4 linked regions of the Sus scrofa genome follow. The protein of the gene in region 2 interacts with the protein of the main gene of each other region in a pairwise test. Links are inferred from orthologs where the notes say so. Each region holds a gene or a part of one and is shown on either strand. Other genes may lie near its edges.

What was found.
Region 1: the proteins of KLC3 (region 2) and TSNAX interact in binary tests that used the Homo sapiens proteins (3 or more experiments, as listed by UniProt). The two-hybrid records come from large-scale screens. The link is inferred for Sus scrofa from reciprocal best matches to the Homo sapiens genes KLC3 and TSNAX.
Region 3: the proteins of KLC3 (region 2) and CCNH interact in binary tests that used the Homo sapiens proteins (3 or more experiments, as listed by UniProt). The two-hybrid records come from large-scale screens. The link is inferred for Sus scrofa from reciprocal best matches to the Homo sapiens genes KLC3 and CCNH.
Region 4: the proteins of KLC3 (region 2) and BICDL2 interact in binary tests that used the Homo sapiens proteins (3 or more experiments, as listed by UniProt). The two-hybrid records come from large-scale screens. The link is inferred for Sus scrofa from reciprocal best matches to the Homo sapiens genes KLC3 and BICDL2.

Annotation. Positions count from the first base shown.
Region 1 is NC_010456.5:59,054,301-59,060,850, reverse strand, and holds the start of TSNAX (translin-associated protein X), read left to right. Parts: upstream 1-2,550; 5' UTR 2,551-2,664; coding exon 2,665-2,680; intron 2,681-3,087; coding exon 3,088-3,192; intron 3,193-6,386; coding exon 6,387-6,501; intron 6,502-6,550.
Region 2 is NC_010448.4:51,732,399-51,737,584, forward strand, and holds the end of KLC3 (kinesin light chain 3), read left to right. Parts: intron 1-200; coding exon 201-420; intron 421-767; coding exon 768-855; intron 856-934; coding exon 935-1,036; intron 1,037-1,557; coding exon 1,558-1,731; intron 1,732-1,919; exon of another isoform or gene 1,920-2,261; coding exon 2,262-2,352; exon of another isoform or gene 2,353-2,426; coding exon 2,427-2,467; exon of another isoform or gene 2,468-2,550; coding exon 2,551-2,657; exon of another isoform or gene 2,658-2,843; coding exon 2,844-2,907; exon of another isoform or gene 2,908-3,170; coding exon 3,171-3,242; 3' UTR 3,243-3,355; downstream 3,356-5,186. Other genes in the region: ERCC2 (TFIIH basal transcription factor complex helicase XPD subunit), read right to left, coding at 3,447-3,539, 3,904-4,047, 4,126-4,269, 4,363-4,433, 4,594-4,666, 4,778-4,870. UniProt on the Homo sapiens protein: Kinesin is a microtubule-associated force-producing protein that may play a role in organelle transport. Plays a role during spermiogenesis in the development of the sperm tail midpiece and in the normal function of spermatozoa.
Region 3 is NC_010444.4:94,993,085-94,999,088, reverse strand, and holds part of CCNH (cyclin-H), read left to right. Parts: intron 1-2,212; coding exon 2,213-2,324; exon of another isoform or gene 2,325-5,426; coding exon 5,427-5,487; coding exon of another isoform or gene 5,488-5,502; exon of another isoform or gene 5,503-6,004. UniProt on the Homo sapiens protein: Regulates CDK7, the catalytic subunit of the CDK-activating kinase (CAK) enzymatic complex. CAK activates the cyclin-associated kinases CDK1, CDK2, CDK4 and CDK6 by threonine phosphorylation.
Region 4 is NC_010445.4:39,155,088-39,160,288, reverse strand, and holds part of BICDL2 (BICD family-like cargo adapter 2), read right to left. Parts: coding exon 4,976-5,201; intron 3,286-4,975; exon of another isoform or gene 2,662-3,285; coding exon of another isoform or gene 2,575-2,661; intron 2,347-2,574; coding exon 2,131-2,346; intron 1,995-2,130; coding exon 1,878-1,994; intron 1,772-1,877; coding exon 1,625-1,771; intron 807-1,624; coding exon 579-806; intron 496-578; coding exon 346-495; intron 1-345.

The sequences.
Region 1 (6,550 bases), on a different chromosome or scaffold from region 2:
ACAAATGTGGGGATTTATAAACTTACTACAAACAGGTGTTCTTAAGAGGCATAGAGCTTTATTCAGAGTCAAGTGTGGGCAATTAGAATGCAAATCTGAAAATCTTTACTTGCCTCTCCCTGACTCTGGGTGGTAATTTTCTCTTAAAAAAAAAAAAAAAAAAAAAAGACGAACAAAAATATGTTTCACCAAACACCAAAACCTATGCGTGTGTATTTGTAGCAGTAAAACAAAGAGATGGGGTGGAGATGCCTTTGCCAGTTGCCACACAAGTGCGAAGGCATTTCTGACAAAGAGTAGCCACAGTTGGGACACCTCGGGTAACTGCATATGCAAATTAGCGCTGGGAAAATATTCCTGAGATTCACCTCCCATGAAGTCCTTTGAGAAGTCATTACACGTTGGGAAACCTCCTAATCCTTAACATTTATGGGAAACAGAGCGAAGCACTTCAAGTAACAAAGCTGGGGCTGAACAGCTGAACAGGGGTGGTGGCTGGAAAAAAGAAGTATGACTGATTCAGGTTTGGGAAAGTTGAGGTCTTCAGAGCTGCTCTATCTAGAGTATTTTTATACTGTTTTCCCAGACACTGCTGAAGCAAGCATTGACTCTAAAAATATTCATAACCTACTGGCATCCTTGGATGTAGAAGGAGTCACATTAAAATGATTACAATTATGTCAAACTTGTCTCTTTTTTTTTTTTTCCCCCTTGGTCATCTCTAATCAAATATTAGGGGGCATAACATCAGTAGGCTCAGACCTCACAGAAACTCAGAATTATATTCCCAACATCGGCAAAGCAAAAGTTTAGCCCATTTCACGCACAAGGAACTCAGCTAATCAACACAAGTATTCAAAGAGCTGCAAACATGTGATGGGTGGTGCCTGGCAGGCTTCTTGCTTCCCAGTTGGAAGAGGCCCTCAACATCACCCAGAGCAGGGAGTTTCCATTGTGGCTCAGTGGTAATGAACTGACCAGTATCCATGAGGACATGGATTTGATCTCTGGCCTTGCTCAGTGGGTTAAGGACCCCGCGTTGCAGAGAGCTTCGGTGTAGGTCACAGAGGTGGCTTGGATTTGGCATTGCTGTGGCTGTGGTGTAGGCCGGCAGTTGTAACTCTGACTCAACCCCTACCTGGGAACCTCCATATGCCGTGGGTGTGGTCCTAAAAAGACCAAAAAAAAAAAAAATTACCTAGAGCAGAAAATTTTCCTATGACACAGGACTGTCAAGAGCTTGAATTTACTGCCATATGCTATCCAAATGGTTTCATTTACTGTTTTTTTTTCCCCTAAATTAAGGAGGAAAGACTGTATGTACAACACAGGACATTACGGGGGTTATTTGGGGAAAATGTAGTAAAAAAGTACTTGTGGTTTCCCTGCAAGCCCTGGGCCACACAACTAGTCAAGCCTCAGCCTGAGATTTTATCTAAAGAATGCTGGATTGCCACTCATTTGCCCATCTGGAAGATGGGAACGTCTGTTCACCGACAGTTAACGAGGCTTACAAGGGTGCTGTGCTAAGAACCTGTTGCGGTGGGCTGGACACAAAGTCTATAAAGACAGGGCAGTACCTGCCTACAATGAAATGCTCACAAGTTAGTGGAGCACACCTGCTATTATCATCACTGACCTCTCTCTTTTTGGAGAGCGATGGTGAGAGAAGGGTATCAAAATTTATATTTAGCGGAGTCTTCTGCGCCTCAATGGTAACTTATTTACTGGTCAAAGATCTTCCTAGGTGGGTCCTGCTTTCTCTCTTTTACAGATGAAACTAAGCTAGGGATGAAGTGCTTCCCCGAGGTCACACAACCACTCAGTGGCGGAGACCACCGTGAACGCGAGCTGTCTGGCTCCACGGTTCCCATAGAGGAGAAAGGCGGGAGGAGGCAGGAGGACGACGAGAATGGGAGAATGGGAGAGGGGCGAGGGGAGGAGTACACAGGGGCCCGTTTCCCTTCGTTAGAGAAAATGCCAGCAACGCCATCCACTTGTTGATTTGCACATTTCCATCACTTTAGCTGCCGGCGTCACTGCTAGGAATGGAAAACTGAAAGACTCCCCAACTCTTTAAGGTTTGGTTTGCTTCCCGAGAGGACATAGCCACAGGTGATGCGAATTGATGCCTTCTCTGTTCCCGGCGCCAGCCAGGCCGTCTGCGGCAACGAACTACAACCCCACCATGCACCGCGCGGTTCCGAGGGCCACGCCAAGGGAACAAGAGGGTGACCCAAAGGTGCCTTGAGGGGAAAAAAAAAAAAAAAATCACCTACATTTTCCTGGCTTTCCCACCTTCACGTTGACCTCACTCCCAGCACGGTCCGCCATATTTTTAAGTGAGCAGCTCATACAGAGAAGTGTGCCGAGTCTCTTCTGTCTTCAGGCATGACAGAGGGCAGGCTCGATGCCTGCGCGCGGGTGCGAGGTCCCCAGGCCAGGCGCGGGGCGGAGTCAGCAGCGGCTGGGCGGGGACGCAGACCGGAAATATGCGAGGGCAAGGGAGAAGCTTGAGTGGCTGCGGGCGCGCGCTTCCGGCCGGGGCGTCGACGTTGGCCGGCTGCGCAGGGCGCCGCTGCGGGCTCTTCGGCCACCACTTTACGCGTTCCGCTCGCCTCCAGGTTGCCAGTCTCGTCTCTTCTCGCCGTAGGCCGTGACGACATGAGCGGCAAAGAAGGTGGCGTCCTCGACAATTTGGGGCGTTATTTCTGTGTTTAGTCCAGGCTTCTGGTCACATTTCCCACTTCTCACCCTTGCGGGATGCCCTCTCACCCTGAAGGCTCGGGGCGGGGGTGCTGCCCTAGTGATTTTTGCGGCCACAGTGGCCTGTTTATGCCTCGTGTTTTCTTAAATTCTCGAGCCGTTTTTCATCTTAGTTCGATAGTTGCTCTGTAAGGAAGCCGTTAGTGGAGGCCCGGATGGTGAGCCTAAGGTTTGGGAGGACAAGGCAGGGTCCTTCTGCTGAGAAAGCCTCTCTGTGGATACCGGTTGTAGAGAAAGGAACGCGTTTGCCCGCTGTAAATTTTTGTCAGCTCTTGGTAATGGAAGAGCCCCGTCCAACCTTTTTTTCCTTCTCTATGTAAGGTTCAGGAGGGTTCAGGAAAAGGAAGCATGACAATTTCCCACATAACCAAAGAAGAGAAGGGAAGGATCTTAATTCATCTTCACCTGTGATGTTGGCCTTCAAATGTAAGTTCTCTGTCATGCAAGCTGGCGAAGGGAAGAGAACTAAAGAGCTTGTCACGAGGGTTACTTAGCCATGTCCTACACGTGAAAACAGCCGCCAGGAATTTTCCTGGAGGTGTTGGCGATGGTGCTAGGTCTGCCATGAAAGTTGAGATTACAAAAGTGTTGACTTTTTTTTTCCGCATTGCAGTTTCACAAGTAAACATTAGTTTACTAACATCAGACGTGCTACATAACGAAAAATTACTGAGTGATATGTAAATATATGTGTCAAGGGTGTGTGTATACATATATCTATTATGTATATATTTATGTTGGGTGTGTGTATATGTACCAACTGTATATGTGTATATCAGCGATGTGTGCATATACATCAGCTGTATGTGTACATATATTTAATTAATTTTAACGTGTTGGTTTTGTTTCCTTAGCTAGACTTTTGAAGACAGGGACTGGTTTTTTTTTTTGTTTTTTTGGTTTTTTTTGTCTTTTTGCCTTTTCTGGGGCCGCTCCCATGGCACATGGAGGTTCCCAGGCTAGGGGTCTAATCAGAGCTGTAGCTGCCGGCCTCCGCCACAGCCACAGCCACAGCAACGCGGGATCCAAGCCGCGTCTGCAACCTACATCACAGCTCACGGCAACGTCGGATCGTTAACCCCCTGAGCAAGGCCAGGGATCGAATCCGTAGCCTCATGTTTCCTAGTCGGATTCGTTAACCATTGAGCCACGACAGGAACTCCCAGGGACTGTATTTTATCTTTTCACAGAGTATGAATGCATTTCTATTAGTAAATCAAACGTGTATGTATTCACAGTTGCCCTTGTCTCAGCATGTTAACTTGGTCAAGTTGTTACTCATTTCAAAGAGAAACATAAAACAAAGTCCTCCCTCCTCTCTTCTGTCCAGCATCCTATCCTTATAGTTTTTGTGGTTTTGGAATCCATGAGGGGCTTAGTTAGCTGTTGGTTCTGACTTGCAGTCATGTGCAGGCTATGCTTGGGCTGGAGGATCCACAGCTATTGACAAATTAGGCTTTCTGCCAAGAACCAGCTCCAGGTTCCTCTACATGGACCCTCGGTAGAACTGCTTGAATGTCCTCAAGCGTGGCATCTGGCTTCCCCTAGACTGAGAGATGGGAGGAGATCACCCTTCTCTTATGTCCTAATCTAGGACATCATACTTTCTCACTTTTGCTACATTCTATTTGTTAGAAATGAGCAGTTTAAAAACTCCGCCTCATATTTAAGTGGAAGGGAATTAGCTTCCATTTTTTGGAGGGAGGTATCTCATGATTTGTGGACATAAATTTCTTTTTTTTTTCCTTTTCTTTTTTTATGCTTTTTAGGGCTGCATGTGCAGCATATGGAAGTTCCCGTGCTAGGAGTCAAATCGGAGCTATAGCTGCTGGTCTGCACCACAGCAACGCCAGATTCGAGCCGCATCTGCCACCTACTCTGCACCTCACGGCAACATCTGATCCTTAACCCACTGAGTAAGGCCAGGGATTGAACTTGTATGCTCATGGATAGCATTGGGTTTGTTTCCACTGAGCCACAATGGGAACTACAATTTGTGGATATGTTTTAAAACCACCACAGCACCTAGTGATCTTCAGGGATGTGAGACAACTAGTTATAATTGAGTAGAGAGCATACTGATAGTGTTATATACTCCGTGGAAACACTATATTGGGTCAAGTATTCACCGTTATACTCTCACACATTCTACATGGAGCTGCTTGTTTCTACACATATTTTGCTGTTTTATGTTTCTACTTGTCTAGTGCACATAGTTCTTTAAGCTTGGAATTGTTTCTAACTTGATGACCCTGTTGAATGTCTGGTATGCCATAGTTTTCTTCAAGACCCAGCTCAAGCAGCTTCTTCCTTTGAAGCCTTTTCTGATTTACCTCTCAAACAAACTTGGTGACAAACATTGCATTCATTGAACATCTGTCTATTCAGTTGGGAAATTTTGAGTGTCTGTATTCTAGCATGTGTTGGTAGTGAACAGGAAAATTGTAGTTCCTACTTTGCTGAACCATACGTGTACATTTACATATATATACCCACACATATAAACATACGTATATATATAATAGCATGATCACATTTAATTATTCCTTTATATCTGTGTCTCATTCTGGACTGAACTCCTTAAGGATTTGAAACTGCTTTATTTAACTTTGAAGTCATAGTATCTAATTTACAGTTGTGATCAATGTATTTGTAATAGTGAATACATTTGATTGTCTTGAAACATTAGACAAAATCCTAGCCTAATTATTGTCTCAATAACCAGATGTATTTAGGTCCTTGTCAGCTATTAATTTGGTTAATAATTTATTCTATAGTTTTTATTCATGCAAAATATGCCTGTGGATTGCTCCCTATAGGACTGCAACTTGCTAGGTCTTTGGTGTGACAATGCCTCTGAAATAAAGTGGTTATTCAGGTGGTTTAAGTGCTTAGGGGTATTTCAACAGCTAGGGCTTGAAAATTCAGAGAGTTGATGTTATCAGAGGCTATACACTTTATTTATTTATTTTGGCTTTTTAGGGCTGCACCTGTGGCATCTGGAAGTTTCCAGGCTAAGGGTTTAAAAGGAGCTGTACCTGCCGACCTTCACCACAGCCACAGCAACATGGGATCCAGGCCATGTCTGTGACCTATACCACAGCTCACAGTAATGCCAGATCCTTAACTCACTGGGCGAGGCCAGGGATCAAACCCATGTCCTCATGGATTCTAGTCAGATTCGTTATTGTCGAGGCATAATGGGAACTCCATAAACTTTTAATTTAAAAATTCTGGTTTCTTTTTTGTTGATATTTATATTGTATATGAATAAGGTAGGTAAAATAGCACAGCGAGATAGATGGAAGTATTTTTTGTAAGTAGTTATGTGTGATAATTTTGTGATAACAGTCCATGTTTACTAGAACAGATTTTTTTTTTCCCCTGCAGTAGGTACATGTCATTGTGAGGCATACTTTATTTAAAGAAAAAATATCTCAGTTTTTGATTTCTAATATCTCAGTCTTTGATTTCTAAGTACTTTAATAATAATAAATAAGATGATTTTATTCCATTCATTTTTATAGTGTAAGTTGCCTGCTCGTGTGTAGTGACAATATTGTTTGATAGGCTTCAAGTATAAAATAAGTATGCTCATGGTCATAATAATGTGTTCTTAGCATTTCAGCAGGAACTTGATGCAAGACATGATAAATATGAGAGACTTGTGAAACTTAGTCGGGATATCACTGTCGAAAGTAAAAGAACAATTTTTCTTCTCCATAGGATTACAAGGTGAGTAAATATCTTTAAAATTTGTTATAGTTGGATACAGTTTGATATG
Region 2 (5,186 bases):
CGGGGGGGGTGGGGAAGGTTGAGGCGCCATGTCAGGCTAAAGCAGATGGCTGTGGCCACAGTCCCTCAAGCCAGGTGGCTCCCGTGTTTACATGCCACAAGCCGGGTAGACACCTGTGGTCCCAGGGGTGTCTGTGTCCCCTCACGTGGGGCTGGAGGGATAGGAGGCCTGCAGTGACTTGGCGCCCCTGGCACCCCCAGGTCCTGAGGCAGCGGGGGCCGCCGCGGCCCAGCAGGGTGGCTACGAGATCCCTGCCCGCCTTCGGACCCTGCACAACCTCGTGATCCAGTATGCAGGGCAAGGCCGCTATGAGGTGGCTGTGCCACTGTGCCGCCAGGCCTTAGAGGACCTCGAACGGAGCTCAGGCCACTGCCACCCTGACGTGGCCACCATGCTCAACATCCTGGCGCTAGTGTACCGGTAAGGGCTGGGGCCGCTGCGGCTGGAGGGGGCAGGAAGGGCAGGGCCTGTTTGGTAGAAGAGGGGGAGCCCTGGTCTCCTGCCTTGCCAGCATGGGCACCTGGGATGGTGGCAGGGAAAGGGGTCAGGGATCTGGCAAGGCCAGAGATCCTGGCAAAGAGGAGTCAGCCTGGCCACCAGAGTGGAGAAGAGACTGGGGGGCGGCAGGGACCCCAAGCTAGACTTGGGAGGTGTGGGAACACCCAGAAGGGACCCCCAAAGGGTGCCCCCCATGCTTGGATCAGCCCAGCCCATGGCCCTGCTACCCGGCCTGGCCTAACCGCCTCCACCCCTGGGCCGCCCCACAGGGACCAGAACAAGTACAAAGAGGCCACAGACCTGCTCCACGATGCCCTGCAGATCCGGGAGCAGACCCTGGGCCCTGAGCACCCGGCGGTGAGCGGGGGCCCCGGAGGAAGGGAGGGCTGTGCGCTGTGGGCCTCTGACCCCTGACCTGCCTACCCCACACCCCCAGGTGGCCGCCACCCTCAACAACCTGGCCGTCCTCTACGGGAAGCGGGGGCGTTACCGGGAGGCGGAGCCCCTGTGCCAGCGCGCCCTGGAGATCCGTGAGAAGGTCCTGCTCCCTGGGAGCCCCTGTCGTGTGTAGCCCTTCCCATTTGATCCTGAAACACTCAATTCGGCAGGACCCTTGCTTGCTCCGGTGACCTCTGACCTTTTGGGCCCCTCCCACTTTGCACCCAGAGCCCTCAATCCCCTGACCCACCACCCTTGACCTACCATGACTTCCACTGGGCCTTGACTCCTGGCTCTGACCCCCTCCTCTTGCGACTCGCCTCCTGGCCCCCCTCCCCCCCAGTCCTGAGCTCCCAACCCCACTCCTGATCTTCCAACCCCAGGTGACCAGTGCAACCCCATCCTTGACGTATAATCATGAGGTTCTGGACCCCCATGATCTCTGACCTGACTAATCCCATCTGATGGTGCAGCCCCTGTCTCCCACTCCGACCTCCTAGAATCTTCCACAGAGGTCCTGTGGTCACCGATTCGTGAACGTGGTCCTCATTCCAGCCACTGGCATCATGTGGCCCATCAGCCCTGGATGACCCCAGTGACATGTGACCCCGTGACCCTTAGGTCCTGGGCGCCGACCACCCGGATGTGGCCAAGCAGCTCAACAACCTGGCCCTGCTCTGCCAGAACCAGGGCAAGTTCGAGGAGGTGGAGCGGCACTACGCCCGGGCCCTGAGCATTTACGAGGCCCTGGGGGGGCCCCACGACCCCAACGTGGCCAAGACCAAGAACAACCTGGTGAGTGCGCTCCCCCCCTGGGGGTGGGGGGACAGCCAGGGCCCGGCGTCCGCTCGAGGGTGGGATACCTGACTTTGCCCGGCCCTGGAGGGGTCCCGTGAGACTCGGCTTCCGAGCTGGGCCCTGGCAGGCAAGGCTGCTCAGCCCAGAGGTCAGCGCCAGGCGACGAGGCAGCCGCGGAGACCAGCCAGGAGCAGATGAGCGCATTTATTGAGCTAGACCCCTTCCTAGCACTTGCCCTGTACTGCCCATCTCTTCAAGGGCCCCACGAGGTAGGTGCTCCTGCCGCCCCATTCTGCAGACGAGGACACGGAGGCAAAGACAGGTGTGGCTCAAGGTCGAGGGGGAGCAGGCTCCTGCTCTGAGTCAGGGAGGCAGCTGCCCTGGGGGAAGCGGTGGGGTCGGGCGCCGAGCCCACTCTGCTGCAGGCTGAGGCCTGGAGTGTAGGGTGAGCCCAGGTGTCTCCCAGGGGGGGGCTGGGAAGCTCCCAGATTTGAGCCAAGCTCACCCAGGCCCTCACCTCCCCGCAGGCCTCAGCCTACCTGAAGCAGAACAAGTACCAGCAGGCGGAAGAGCTGTACAAAGAAATCCTCCGCAGGGAGGACCTGCCCGCGCCCCTCGGTGAGCCCCCAGTCCCGCCCTCCCCCAGGAGGCTGCTCAGGGTCCCCACTACCATGTCCTCATCTGTTCCCTAGGAGCCCTGAAAACAGGCACAGCCGGGGGTGCAGAACAGCAGGTGAGGAGGGGCTTCGCTCGGCTCCCGGGGGATGGGGGGGTGGACCGGCTGGATGGGAGGACTGACTGGCGCCCCCCTCCCAGAGGCTTCGGCGGAGCAGCTCCTTCTCCAAGCTCCGGGAGTCCATCCGGCGGGGAAGCGAGAAGCTGGTCTCCCGGCTCCGAGGGGAGGCGGCGGCAGGGGCAGCGGGGTGAGTGTGGGATCAGGTGGGGGAGAGCCTGGACAGACGCCCCCTCTGTAGCCCTCCTGTCCTGCTCAAGAACCTTCCACGGCTCCCGTCTCCCCCGCAACACATACAAGCACCCCTGTGCTGGAGGGTCTGCCCCAGGACAGGAGCCCGACACGCCCAGACTCACGGGTGCCCCACCTCCTCCAGGATGAAGAGAGCCGTGTCCCTCAACGTGCTGAACGTGGATGGGCCAAGGGCCACTGGGCTCCCGGTGAGGGGGGTCCCTGGGGCAAGGAGGGAGTGGGGGACCACGAGGTCGGGCCCAGAGGCAAGGGAAGGGGGGGATGGCACGGGAAAGGACCCCAGGACGGGGGCCTGGATGGGTTATCCGGGCAGAGGCGGGAGAGGTGGGGACAGGAGGATGAGTGACACAGCCAGTGGCGGCCAGGCTGCCAGGGAGTAGCCCTAGTGGCAGCTGGAGCAGAGTTAGGTCCGGGCCTCACTCACCCACCTACCCCCCGTGCCTCTTTCCAGTTCTCCAGCCGGCACCTAAGTGAGGCTTCCCGGACCCTCAGCGCCAGCACCCAGGACCTTGGCCCTCGATAAAGGCGACAAGACCACGCGGCCGCAGCATCTCGGGAGGAATGGGAGAGGGTGGGGAGGGAAGGGGAGCCTCCCACTGTCCTTTCTCCTGCCATTAAAGGCTGTGGATGTGGCAGCCAAAATGCACGCCTGACCTTCCAGCACCTCCCCGGGGCCAGGTAAGACTGGGCATGATGCGCACACCTTGGCGGCCCCGCCTGGCTCATGCTACAGCTGCTGCGCGATCTGCTCTATCCTCCGCAGCGTCTCCTCTGACTCGAGCTGCTCCAGGCTGAGCAGGGACAGGCCCAGCTGGTCCTCCTGCAGGGGAGGGAGAAAGCAGGTCAGACGGCTGCCGCACATCCGACCCAGGGTCCACGCCGCAGCCAGTAGTGAAGGGAGGTGGCCCGCCTGAGGCCACGGGACAGGATGCTTGAATCTGGAAACATGTCCAGTGCAGAGCGGACCACTCCTGTCAACAGAGGACAGGCCGGCAGAGGGGCTGCATCCAAGGCGGAGCAGGACCGGCTTTCCAGAGGCCCCTTGGACGCACGCTGACCTCTGCAGCCCCCAGGCCTGGCACATGGGCGCACACAAACCTGTCAGGGGCGGGGGGTGTTGGGGCTCAAGGAGAAAGCAAGCCAGGGTCCCTCCTGTAAGAGGAGCTCGGTCGCCCGGGGCTCACCCGGTGGAATGGCTGTGCCATCTGCCTCAGGAAGTACTTGGCAACCTGGACCCCCTCGTCGACGGTCAGGTTGAGGTTGGCGTCTGTGAGGTGCTCCTGGATCCAGCGGGGCAATTTCCCCCGCTTGTCTGCCCGGGCGAACCGCTTTGAGCGGGAGAGAGGCCAGGTGTCAGGACCGTGGGAGGGGGGCCCGGGCACCCCCAGCCGGGCCCGACTCCTCACCTTGTCAGCGAAGACCATGAGGCCGTAGTCCGTCTTGCCCCTGATGGCCCGACCCACACACTGGGCCGCGTGGCGCATGGCGTCGAAGGTAAGAAAGTCATTCTCTCGAATCTGGAACTGGTCCCGCAGGTATTCCAGCCGCGCCTGCAGGTGCAGAGAGGGGAGACGTCCCTTCCTCACGCCGCACAAGACCCCAGGGGAAGGCCCAACAGAAGCCCGCCTCCTCCCGCTGCTCACCTTGAGAATGCGGCTCTGGGTGTACACGTACGGCACGCCGAACATGATGACGGCCCGCCCGTAGTGGTGCACTGGGGGCGGGGGGCGAGGGGGCGTCAGTGCGGCCCAGGGCTGGAGGGAGGGCAGGCCCCCGGGTGAGCCCAGGCCGTGGGCGGTGGGTGGTCCCCGGGGAAGCAGAAACGGCCGGAGCTCCAGGCAGGCCCTCGGGAGGGGAAAGCCTGGTCCACTCACCAAAATCGATTCCCTCGGACACTTTGCCTCGGGCCACCGAGAGCAGGATGGCCCCACGGCCGTTCTCGCAGGCCTGGAGGGGGGAGGCCAGGATACGAGACGCGTCACCTCAGAGCTGTCTCCTCTGGCCCTTCTCCACCCTGGACTCTCAGCATCTCCCGCCCTCCCCCCCAATAATACCCACCTCCTGGTACTTCTCCAGGGCGACACTGGTCTCAGCCCCATCTTGAGTCTCGATAAAGAGCAGCTTGTTCCTCTGGATGTTTTCAAGGATGCCCTAGGGAGGGACACCAGGGAGGTCAGGGTGCAGGTTGGCAGAAAGATTAAAGGACAGGGGCGTCCCGGTTAAACTCAGCTCTGCCACCGATTCCCATGCAACAGACCACTTGTCACCCTGGGTCACGGCTTGCCCATCAGAGACTGGGGCAGGGTGGTGGCACTGTCCAGCCACACTGCTTGTGATCCAGGTAGGGAACATCCCCGTCTTTTGGACAAGGGGGACAGCGGCTCAATGGCCAATTCGGATGTCCCCCACAGCTCATGACTGGGGGAGAGGCTGATGTAGGCCAGGCAGAGCCCATCGGAGGCTGCCC
Region 3 (6,004 bases), on a different chromosome or scaffold from region 2:
TACCTTACATGGCCAAAAAGACACCCCCAAAAAAGTCTTTGCAGGTGTGACAAAGTTAAAGACATTATTTTGGACTATTCAGATTGAGCCTAAATATAATCACAAGAGTCCTTAGTAGAGGAAGGCAGAGAGAAGTTTGACACACTGAAGGTGATTTTGAAGACACAGCAGAGATTTGAAGATATGTCTTAAAAATTGGAGCAGTACGGCCATAAGCTAAGGGATGTTGGCAGTCATCAGAAGCTGGAACAGAAGCCTCTAGAGTGTAGCCCTTCCCATATTTTGTTTTTGGTCTAGTGAAACTGATTGCAGACTCTGAGGCTTTAGAACTGTGGAACAGGAGTTCTCTTGTGGCACAACAGGTTAAGAATCCAGCATTCTCACCCTAGCAGCTCATGTGGCTGCTGTGGCACAGGTTTAATCCCTGGCCTGGGAACTTGTGCATGCCTCAGTTGCTGCAAAAAAAAAAAAAACAAAACAAAAAAACAAAACAAACAAAAACCTGTGAAACAGTCCACTTTTGTTGTCTTAATAGGTCCTGAGTTTGTGGTAATTTTTAATAGCAATCTCAGGAAATTAACATAAACCCTCACAACAAAGAATTTTCTAGCCCAGGCTGTCAGTAGTGCTTATGCTAAGAAACACTGTCTTAAGGTTTTGTTTTTTTTTTCCTTCTTTTCACTTTTTTAAAGTATGCTTGCTTTACAGTGTTGTGTTAGTTTCATATGTGCAGCAAAGTGATTCAGATGTGTGTGTGTATGTGTGTGCTTCAGATTCTTTTCCCTTGTAGGTTATTACAGGATATTGAATATAGTTCCCCAAGCTATATGGCAACCTTGTTCTTAAGGATTGAGTTAGAACCTCCCCTTAACTGATTGGCTGGATTAGCCATTCCTCTCCATGTTCATTCTTGCTCTTGTGACACTGCATGCTCATGGCTACTATGCACATCTTCAGGGTTAAAAGTCAGTTATGTTTGTTTCCAAAATGTTTTGTGCCAGTTGTCCTTATGAATAAATTTCTGGTTTAAATATTGAGTAAGCCAATAAAATATGACATTGAAGATCTTGATCTTGGATGACATTAGTTAATCAGTGTTTTTATGTTTTATGTTTCAAAAGTTAAAATGCCTCAGGGCATGTAAATATCATTTCTTGATTCTTTGTTGGAAATGATCTCGAGGTCTTCCCTCTTTAAGTGAGAGTGATGAATTTATCAGTCAGAAAACTGTAGGTTTTCAGTTATACCACTAGAGGGTTCACTTCCAAAACTAATTGTGATTTGGCCATAGATATTAGGATCCAGGAATTTAGTAAGTACAAGAGGTCTTAAAGGTAACCCACTGTGCTGATTTTATAGCTGACACTTACCTTCATTTTACTCCATTTGTTTAAATGTAAAATAAGAATAGCTCTTGCTGAAACTCAGAGCTGGAATGGTATTATCTTATTCATAATTTTTCACACACAAGATACTGTCCCAAGGGTTTTGATGCAAACACTGCTTTATTTGCTTTATGAAATAAGTCACTCATTTGGAGCACATGGCTGGCTAATTAGCCCTGTTTCTCTCATCATTCCTTATAAAAATCATGAGATTTATATTCTTTGTTTTGTGGTAGTTGAATAATATAAAGGGCCCAGGTGGAGAATCCTTGTGTGCTTAGTCACTGTAGTAGTTTGCTTTTAGCATAAGGAGGGTATTTTTGTTTTCTTGGTGATGCTTCATTGTATAGGTTCCGCATTGTGTTAAAGCAAAGCATCATTGACGGGTATTTATAAGCATTTTTCCTTCATTGCATATTACATAATAATGTTTTCCTTGTACATGAGGCCCTCCATCTGTAGGACAGAATGTTATGAATATAGTTGGTGGTAGAGAACAAAGATTGTTTACTAAATCATATAGGGATTTTTTAAAAGCCTTAAAACTGAGTAAAGTGACCATGGTAGGATTTGGAAAAAATACTGACTAGCAAAGCCTGCTTATCGTTATGCTGTACACGACGCGGGCTAAGCAGCAGAAGCTATAGTAACTTGAGTATGGTGTTCATTGAATTCTAATGTGAAATAATAATCCTGATAATAATAACCACATTTCAGGAGTGTTCTTTGTTGTTCCCAAAACTAGATGGGAAAATATTATTCATCCCCTTTATGAGAACCATACTTTTCATTATCTGATGTGGATCCTTTCTTTTATATACATATAGGCATGAGAAACTTGGTAAAAAAATATGAACCACCCAGATCTGAAGAAGTTGCTGTTCTGAAACAGAAGTTGGAGAGATGTCACTCTCCTGAGCTTGCACTTAACGTAATTACGTAAGTAGATGGGACACTGTTATCCTAGAACAGATATAACTATTATTGTGTTTAGCTTAAAATGTCATTTAATTGGTGAATGCTCATATGGGTAAAACTGACTTACCTATTAAATCAGATTTTTTTTCAACAGGATTAAACACGAGATAATAAAAGAATTTGGCTTTTTATAGTCAATTCTGCTCCTGCTGTGATTAACGTGTTCTTTGGCTTGTGGGATCCCATGAGGCAGAGTCTTCCTAGGGAATTCATGAACCTCTTCTTGTCCTTTTAATCTCTAGGTTTTTTGTAGGTCTGGTTATCTCCTCTGGAGAACAAGTACACTGTTCCAGATTTATTTCTATTAGCTAGGGTATGGAAATTTGGCATATTTTCTCTCAGTGGTAAACTTTATATTGAAGACAGAATCAATAGGAAAATGTGCTGTTAGATTTCTTGTTGCATCCATAAGGAACACTGTAATACGTCTTATTGACTTGTTGCTGAATGTGGAATTCACTATATTTGAGCTCTTTATCACCTGCAGCTTGAAGATCTGCTTACACCTTTCAGGTGTTTAAACAGTTGGGGATCTGGGTAGGTAATAAGAATGGTAAAATTATTATTTTATATTTTCTGTGGAACACATTCTGTAAAACTTAGTGGGAGGTAGGTCTGTCATCTTACAGTTGAGATGCATTTGAGATGTTTCTGATTCCATAATTGATGACTATATTGTTATTGGATAATATATGAGACATCAGACCAGAATTCTAAGGCCTTCAGATCAGGTACTTGTAACTCAAATTCTTCTAACTATAAAGCTATAGTAGGAGAATATCCCAGGACTTATGATGTGTGTAAAATATGGGACTATTTTATATTTGTAGCTGTAACTGCAAAACATGGCTTAGAATAGAACCTAAAATTGGTAAATTTCACTCCTGGGTTTCAGTGTTACAGCAAAAGTAAAGAAAAATGTTGACTTTAATGAATGAAAGTATTGCAGTACTGATTTATAATCTTTTCACATTGATTTTGAAATGGGCTTATTAGACCAGGTGTTGGCACACTGTGGCCCAAGGGCCAAATCTGGGCCACAACCTGTTTTTAGAAATAGTTTTATTGGAACATAGATCCATCTAGCATACTGTGTATTGCTGTTTTCAGACTATAGCAGAAGAATTGTGTAGTTGTGACAGAAACTACATGCCCGTACAAGAATTAAAATACTCACTATATGGCCTTTTGAAGAAAAATTTGTCCACCTCTGAATTAGACCACTCAACTATTGATCTTACTCTTCTAGCTAGGTGACTGAATGGACCATAATCCAAAGTTCCTAATTGGCCAGAGTTTACATCTTTCTTTCAAGTGTACTGTGTTAAGCAAACCCTGCATATCTATGAGTACTTAAAGGGCGATTCTCAAACTGTAAAGGACTGTTAATTTTCTTTTTAACCCATTACAGACCTACACTTACATAAAATATTAACAAATAATTACTCGAAAAAAGAAAATGACAAAAAAATAAGCTTAAATTTTATTAGATTCAATAAGCTTAATTTTATTAGATTCAGTAGTCATAAATAAATCTATCAAATTCCTATAAAAATTTCTAAACACACACTCAATTTCTATACTTATCTCATTGCACGCTGGAAATGGTCCATAAATCACACTTACAAGCACTACTTTAGGATAAAATATTTTTTCTTGGTCTTTAAAATTCTTTTATCTTTTTTAATACACAAGTAATATAGTGTCATTATTAAAGCCAATTTAATACAGGTAAACCAGAGTTCTCTTTAACCAAAACCCAAATCCCAGTTTCATCCCGAGAGGTAACTTATAGTTGTTATCTTTGCCAAGCTTTTCACTATTATGTATTTAGAAAAGGGTTTTTTCCCTTTTCATTGTTTTCATACACATTGTACAACATTTAATAGTATCAGTATTTAACTTCTGCCAGTCTGGGTGAAGAAATAATCATCACATCGGTATTTTAATTTGCATTTCTCTTATTATTCTGATACTGATATTTCCATGTCAAATAATCCTGTTTCTTCTGTATTGCATAATTATAACCTCTGCCCAACTTTCTTGTCTTGTTTTCTTATGGTTCTTTTTATATACTCCTCTTTTTATATTTATCATAGACCTACTTTCTTTTGTTGCTTCTTTTACTTTGTGACATAGGCAGCTTGTCTTTTGCTTTATGCTCGTACACCTGAACACCTTGTCTTACTCTGTATTTTGCCTTTTGTTTAGCTGTTAAAACTATTTAGAATTGTATGTGATTGGTTTGAGGTAGAAATCTCACTAATTTTTGTTCAAAGTAAACTTGTATCAGCCATTTAAAAATATTTCATGATTTTCTCTAGTTATTTAAAATAGTCATTTATTACAGATTAAACTCCTATATATACTTTGTACTGATCATTGATCTTTAACTCTTTGCTAATACAGACAGCCCTTCATATCTGTGGATGCAGAGCACCAAATGTACGAATATTACCATTTCATAAAAGGGACTTGAGCATCAGGATTTTGGTATCTTGAGGGGTGGGGGTGGGGTTCCTGGAGCCAGTCTTCCTCAGATATCAAAGAATGACTGTACCATACTTTTAATTACCATAGTTTATATAAAGTATGTTTTGATGTTAGGTGGGACATGCTCCCCATATTTTGTTCTTTTTCATATTCTTTTGCTATTTTTGTGTAATCTTTTCCTGGTCAGAGTTAAGCTTAGGAAAAATTTTATTAGGATTTTAATTAGAATTGGATTGAATTTTTTTATTTTGCTGCATCATGCAGCACCTTGATATGGGATCTCAATTCCCAGACCAGGGATCAAAACCGGTCCACAACGATGAAAGCACTGATCCTAACCGCCAGATCACCAAGGAACTCTGCAAACTGCACTGTCTTTAAAGAGTAATTTGAAAGATAATTGCCTTCCTACCCATAATTCTTCACCTTTTTCCATTTATCCAGGGTTTGTTCTGTAGATATGTCAAAAAAAGATAGCTTGTTTGAGAGATTTACAGAATCTTGCTAGTTTAACCATGCTAGATTCTGTTGCCAGTATTAGATTGCTTATTGATGGTTGCTTAATTACAGCAAGAAGAGGAAAGGTTATGAAGATGATGATTATGTCTCAAAGAAATCCAAACATGAGGAGGTATGTTCTCCAAAGGTAAATTTTAACTTACTGTTGTTGTTTATTCTGGTATGACAATAGTGTTAAGATTTTATTGTTCCAGAGTGCGGGCATTATAGACAGAGGTGTGGGTATTAGAAAGCTTTTTTTTTTTTTTTTTTTTTTTTTGCATCTTTATGTACATTGTCTATTACAGGAATTTTTCTCACTTCCATCTTAGCCTGTTCTGAAGCAGTATAGTAGTTACTTCATGAAGAATCCCTCCTAAGGTCATAGAAGCCAGTAGGGATATATAGACATGCTAAATTTTGTCATATTTTTTTAATCTTCAGGGATTCTTCACCTACCCTTTTTTGAAAAAAAAAAACTATACCTGGCAAGTCAGATGCAAATGAATAATCAGAGGCAGAGGGTCACATCTGTAACATTTATTCCTATCACTGGAGTTGTCTGATGAGATGAATTCTTATTATGCAAATTTTCCTGGTTTAATTACCTTCTATAATCAGCATAGCGAAGAGTTCATTTTCAAATCTGA
Region 4 (5,201 bases), on a different chromosome or scaffold from region 2:
CCTCCCCCCATCTCTCCCTGCTCCACAAACTACTCTGACAGCTAAGGTCCTGTGCTGGGGATGAACCTTCTGATCCCCTAGACTGGGGTGGGGTGGGGTAGGGAAGGTATGAGGCTGTAGGAAGGATATATGGAAGCATTGGGAGGTGGGGCTAAGGGGGGAAAGTAGTCCAGGAAGTCTCCCTGGAGGAGGTAACATACAGGCTGCCTCTTGAGAGACGATTGCGAGTTTGTTGGGATGAAGGGCTGTCTAGGTAGAGGGGGATTAATAGCGAAGACTCGGAGGTATAGATGGAAAAGAGAAATCGATAGGGGCTCTGCATGCAGTATTATGGTCCCCCCCCACCTCATCCTGCAACCGGACTACTTCCGCCTCCTTCTCTTCCAGCATCTCCCCTCGGCTCAGGGATGCTTGCTTCCTGGGAGGCTCTAAATTCTCTTTCTGGGGCGAAGGCTGGTGGCTGGATGCTTCTTGGGTCTCCAGGGACAGGGTGGTCTGTTCACCAAAGGAATCACTCAGTAAAGTGACCTCCCGCGAAAAGGAGGAGGGGAGGGGTCTGCAGCTCTCCTGCACGGTACCTGTTGTGAGCTGGTGGACAGAGAGCTCGCTAGAGTATCTCTGCATCTGTCCGTGTTCTGGTCTTGGTCGTGGTCGCTGTCAAGGCTGTGGGCAAGCTCCAGCTGCAGCGAGGCTCCCGAGATGTCTGCATCCTGGAGGCGCGACTCCTCCTCCAGTTCTGAGACGCGCCGCTGCAGCCTCCGCAGCGCGCTCAGTGCCTCCCCGGCCTCGGAGCGCGCGCGTTCCAGCTGCGAAACAGGGGCGGTCAGCCGGCTTCTCCCGCGGCCGGCCCACAGGGGGCGCTAGCACGCCGCGGAGAGTCAGCACCCCGCGTCCGGGAACTCTGAAGTCGCCTCCCGCTCCCGGATGGCCCGGCAGCCTTGGGTCGCGCAGTTCCCCTCGGCAGGTACCAATTTCCTTACCTATAAAGCAGGGCGCCAGTGGGAACCCCGGCTTTAAAGTTGCCCATCGTCCTCCCTCCAGTCCCACCCCATCAGGTCACCTCGAAAAGCCCCGCCCCTTCCCCTTCCCCCTTCCCCCTTCCCCCCAACCTGCCCGGGTCCACCTCTTTCATCCAGCGTTTATTGACCTTTCTAAGCTGGTGATGTGCTGAGTGTCTCAGCCCCTCACCACAGCCATGTACTATTACCCTCCCATCTCACAGACAGGGACACTGAGGCTGGTGTCCCGCAGTAAAAAGGGACGTGGGGCTAAGAACTCAGGTAATTTGACCCCCAAGTGCAAACTTCTGACATCTCAAGCATCAAGCCGTGCTGCCCACTATCATTCCCCTTTCCCCGTTTTCAAGCCCAGACCTGGCCCAGGTCCCCATCATCCCTGACCTGAGCTCTGGCCTCAGCCCCATCCCAGCCTCTCCAGCTGCCAGACTCTGATGGGTTCCGAGAGTGAACCAGCCCCACTCAGTATCCTCCCATGGCTCTCACTTGGCCTTAGGCTGATGCCCACATGCTTGTGGGCTCCCAGCGACCCAGCTCTGGTCTCTTCTCCCAGGAAGCCGTGAGGCAGTGGCCAAGGCCCCGGGGAGAGCCTCCCCATCCCAACCCACCTCCAGACTGTGCTCCCGCCTCTCGCGCCGTAACAGCAGCAGCTCCTCGTGGGTTGCCTGTAGTCTGCCCTGGCCCTTCTCCACCTCCTCACGCAGGCCTCGAATCTGGCTCTCCAGGTCCTGTCGGCGGCCCTGCAGCATCTGATTCTGGGGAGAGGCCTCCGAGCTGGAGTGGAAATGCTAGGCCAGCTCCTCATAGCCCCCATTGCAGCCTTGCTGGTTCAATAGACCCCCAGCCCCAGCTGGCACTCACCTCCCCCTGCAGACTCTCCAGCCGCGTCCTCAGCTCTGCCCCAGCCAGGGCCTGAGCCTGGCACTGCCCCCGAAGGCCATCCAGTTCCCTCTGAAGCTCCTGCTCGGTCTGGGAGGCCTGGGGATGGGGGGGTGGGGCGGTGGAGCCCTCAACTGGCCTGAGCCTCAACGCCAGGCCCAGTGCACCCACCTCCACCGGGACCCAGGCACCTGCCCCCTCCTTGCCCAGGGCCCTGGGGTCAGGGCTGTCCCACCTGGGCCAGCTGCTGGCTGAGCCGGAGGTTCTGTTCGCTGAGTTCAGTGAGAGCCCGCACCCGCTCACGGCCGCTGTCCTGCTGCTCTGATCGCTGCTCTCCCAGCTGGGCCCGGAGGGCCTCCACGTCCCCCTCCAGCTCCACGGCCCTGGCCTCCCACTCAGCTCCCTGTGCAGCCAGGCCCCGGCGGAGCTCATGGTTCTCCTGCTGCAGCCGCTGGCAGAACAGAGGGTCAGAGGCAGAGAGGCAGAGGTGAGCGTGCAGGGGTCTGAGACTGATGGTGGAGCCAGCAATGGGGAGGGCACCGGGGAGGAGGTGGGCAGGGAGGCAACACATGGTCCAGGCAGTAGGACAGGAGGGGGAGAAGTAGAAGCTTCCAGGAGGGGCTGACCATGGGCCGGAGTTGGGGTGGTGGCAGGGGGCGTCTTCCTGAGGCCCACTCACCTCTGGCTGCTGCCTGGGCTTCTGGACCCGAGGTCGCAGGCGCCGTTTGTGGCGCCTGAGTCTGGCAGAGTTGAAGCCCCGGCCCATGGCCTCCCTCACCTGTGATCCAGGGACTCCGGACGTTTAGCTTCTGCCCAGCCTCTGCTCAGCCCCTCTCCCAGAGCTGCTCCCAGCCAGCTCCCTCTAATTAACCCTGGTCAGCTCCACCCTGGCCCCACGCCTCTGCCTTCCCTCCCCAAAACCTGTCTAACCAGCAGGGGGACGCTCCTGGCACACCCAGATGCCCAGCTTGGGAAGGCAGGCAAGCCAGGGGGCCAGAGGCTCCCCAGACTCTCCCAGCAGGAAGATGATGCTCCCCCAGCTGCCACGGGGCCTGGCAGGCACTTCACCTGTGCTATTGTGTTAACTCCCTAGAGTTAGACTCCCTAACGTCCTCATTGTATAGATGAGGACACGGGGCCTCAGAGAGGGTAAATGCCTTGCCCGGGGACACACAGCTGGGTCCTAGAGCAGGGAATCTAACCCAGGCCGCCAAGCCCTTAACCAGGTACTGAGGGGGCCACAAAGCTTAGGATTAAACCCATGGGTTTGGGGTCCGATTGTCCTGGCTGATACCCAGGTCAGGCAAGACCCACCCATCCAGAGTTCCCATTGTGGCTCAGCAGAAGCAAATCTGCCTAGGATCCATGAGGACGCAGGTTCAATCCCTGGCCTTGCTCAGTGAGTTAAGGATCCAGTGCTGCCGTGAGCTGTGGTGTAGATTGCAGATGTGGCTTGGATCTGGCATTGCTGTGGCTGTGGTGTAGATGGGCAGCTGTAGCTTGGGATTCAACCCCTAGCCTGGAACCCTCCATACGCCATGGGTGTGGCCACACACAAAAAGAAACCCCCGGAAGCAATCCATGAAGAGGAGCAGGGATAAGTGGGGGCTCTTTCAGGGGGAAGAGGTGTCTAAATTGACTCCCGTGGGGCAGGAAGAACCAGGGTTACAGGGAAGGACCTTAAATGCACATGACCCAAGGCTACAAGCACAGGTCACCTGAGGAACTGAAAAAAGGCCCCGTCAGAGAAGGGGAGGTATGGCTGGGACTTTTTAGTTTCACTGTAAGTATGACGGGGAGCTGCTGGGAGATTCTGAGCAAGGACTGAAGTGGTGCGATTTGTAATTTTTGAAGATCTCTCTGGCTGCCCCGTGGAAAAGGCACTCCAGCGGGCAAGGGTGGAAACAGGACCAGCGAGCAGGGGCAGAGATGATGGGACAGGAGAAGTGGGCAGACTCGGAATCTAGTTTCAAAGAAGAAGCAACAGGGCTTGGAGTTCCTATCGTGGCTGAGCAGAAATGAACGCAGCTAGGATCCATGAGGACGTTGGTTTGATCCCTGGCCTCACTCAGTGGGTTAAGGATCCGGCGTAGCCTCGAGCTGTAGTGCAGGTGGTAGAGGTGGCTTGGATCTGGTGTGGCTGTGGCTGTGGCTGTGGCCTAGGCCAGGGGCAGCAGCTCCAATTCAACCCCGAATCTGGAAACTTCATATGCCAGAGGTGTGGCCCTAAAAAGCAAAAGAAGAGAGAAAGAAAGAAAGAAGGCCCAGGGCTTGCCGACGTGGGAGGAGAGCGGTCTACCAGCTGCGCAGGGTCTGGTCCCGCAGTGTGAACCCAGGGTAGCACGTGATGGGGGCATGGAATCCAGGGCCACTTATGTTGAGATGCCCCTTAGGGGGCCAGGTGGAGAGGGTGTGGGGGGTGAGGATGTGGATACAGGAGTCAGTGGGGTCCAGGGGACCAGATGTGACCCTCAGGGAATGTGGCTGACCAGAATCTGGGAAAACTGTCCCTGTCTCACAGAGCTGGTGAGAACTGACCTGGACGATCCAGGGAAAGTGCTTAGCTCGGAGCCGGGCAGGGAGGGAGCACCCGGGAGCTGCTGCCTGGGGTTGTGCAATCCTGCAGAGGGCCGCACGGCCAGGAAGGGATCTGCACCCAGGTCTCGACTTGTCCTCAGAGCCCACGTTCTTTTTTTTTTTCCCTCTTTTTTCTTTAAGGCTGCACCTGCCCCTGCAGCATAAGGAATTTCCTGGGCCAGGGGCCCTAGCCCACACCACAGCCACGCAGGATCCAAGCCGCATCTGCAACCTACACTGCCAGATCCCCAACCCACTGAGTGAGGCCAGGGATCGAACCCACACCCTCACGGACACTATGTAGGATTCTCAACACTCTGAACCACAGCAGGAACTCCATCAGAGCCCCTGTTCTTAACCACTGCCAGGGGCACTGGTCCCAGAGGCATCCATCCCCTGTGCCTGGCGTGCCTCTCCCTGCACACCTGGCTCCCACCTCCCCACAGCCTGGTCCCTGCCACCTCTCCTCCATGTGTCCAGCCCACCCTCTGCTGCCAGCTCACTTCCTCACGCTCAGAGTGCTGGGCGCTCAGCATCTCCATCTGCCGCTGCAGCTCCTCGTTCTGCTCCAGAAGCATCTTCCCAAGTTCTGCGGCCAACAGCAGGTCTTTCTCCTTCTCCTGCAGCTGCAGGGCCAGGTCCTCAGGCTCCTCAGGCCCTGGGCCACCTCCTAGGAATGAGTCCCGCCGCTCCAGCACGAAGGGGAAGAAGCCCTCATCACCGCTGGGG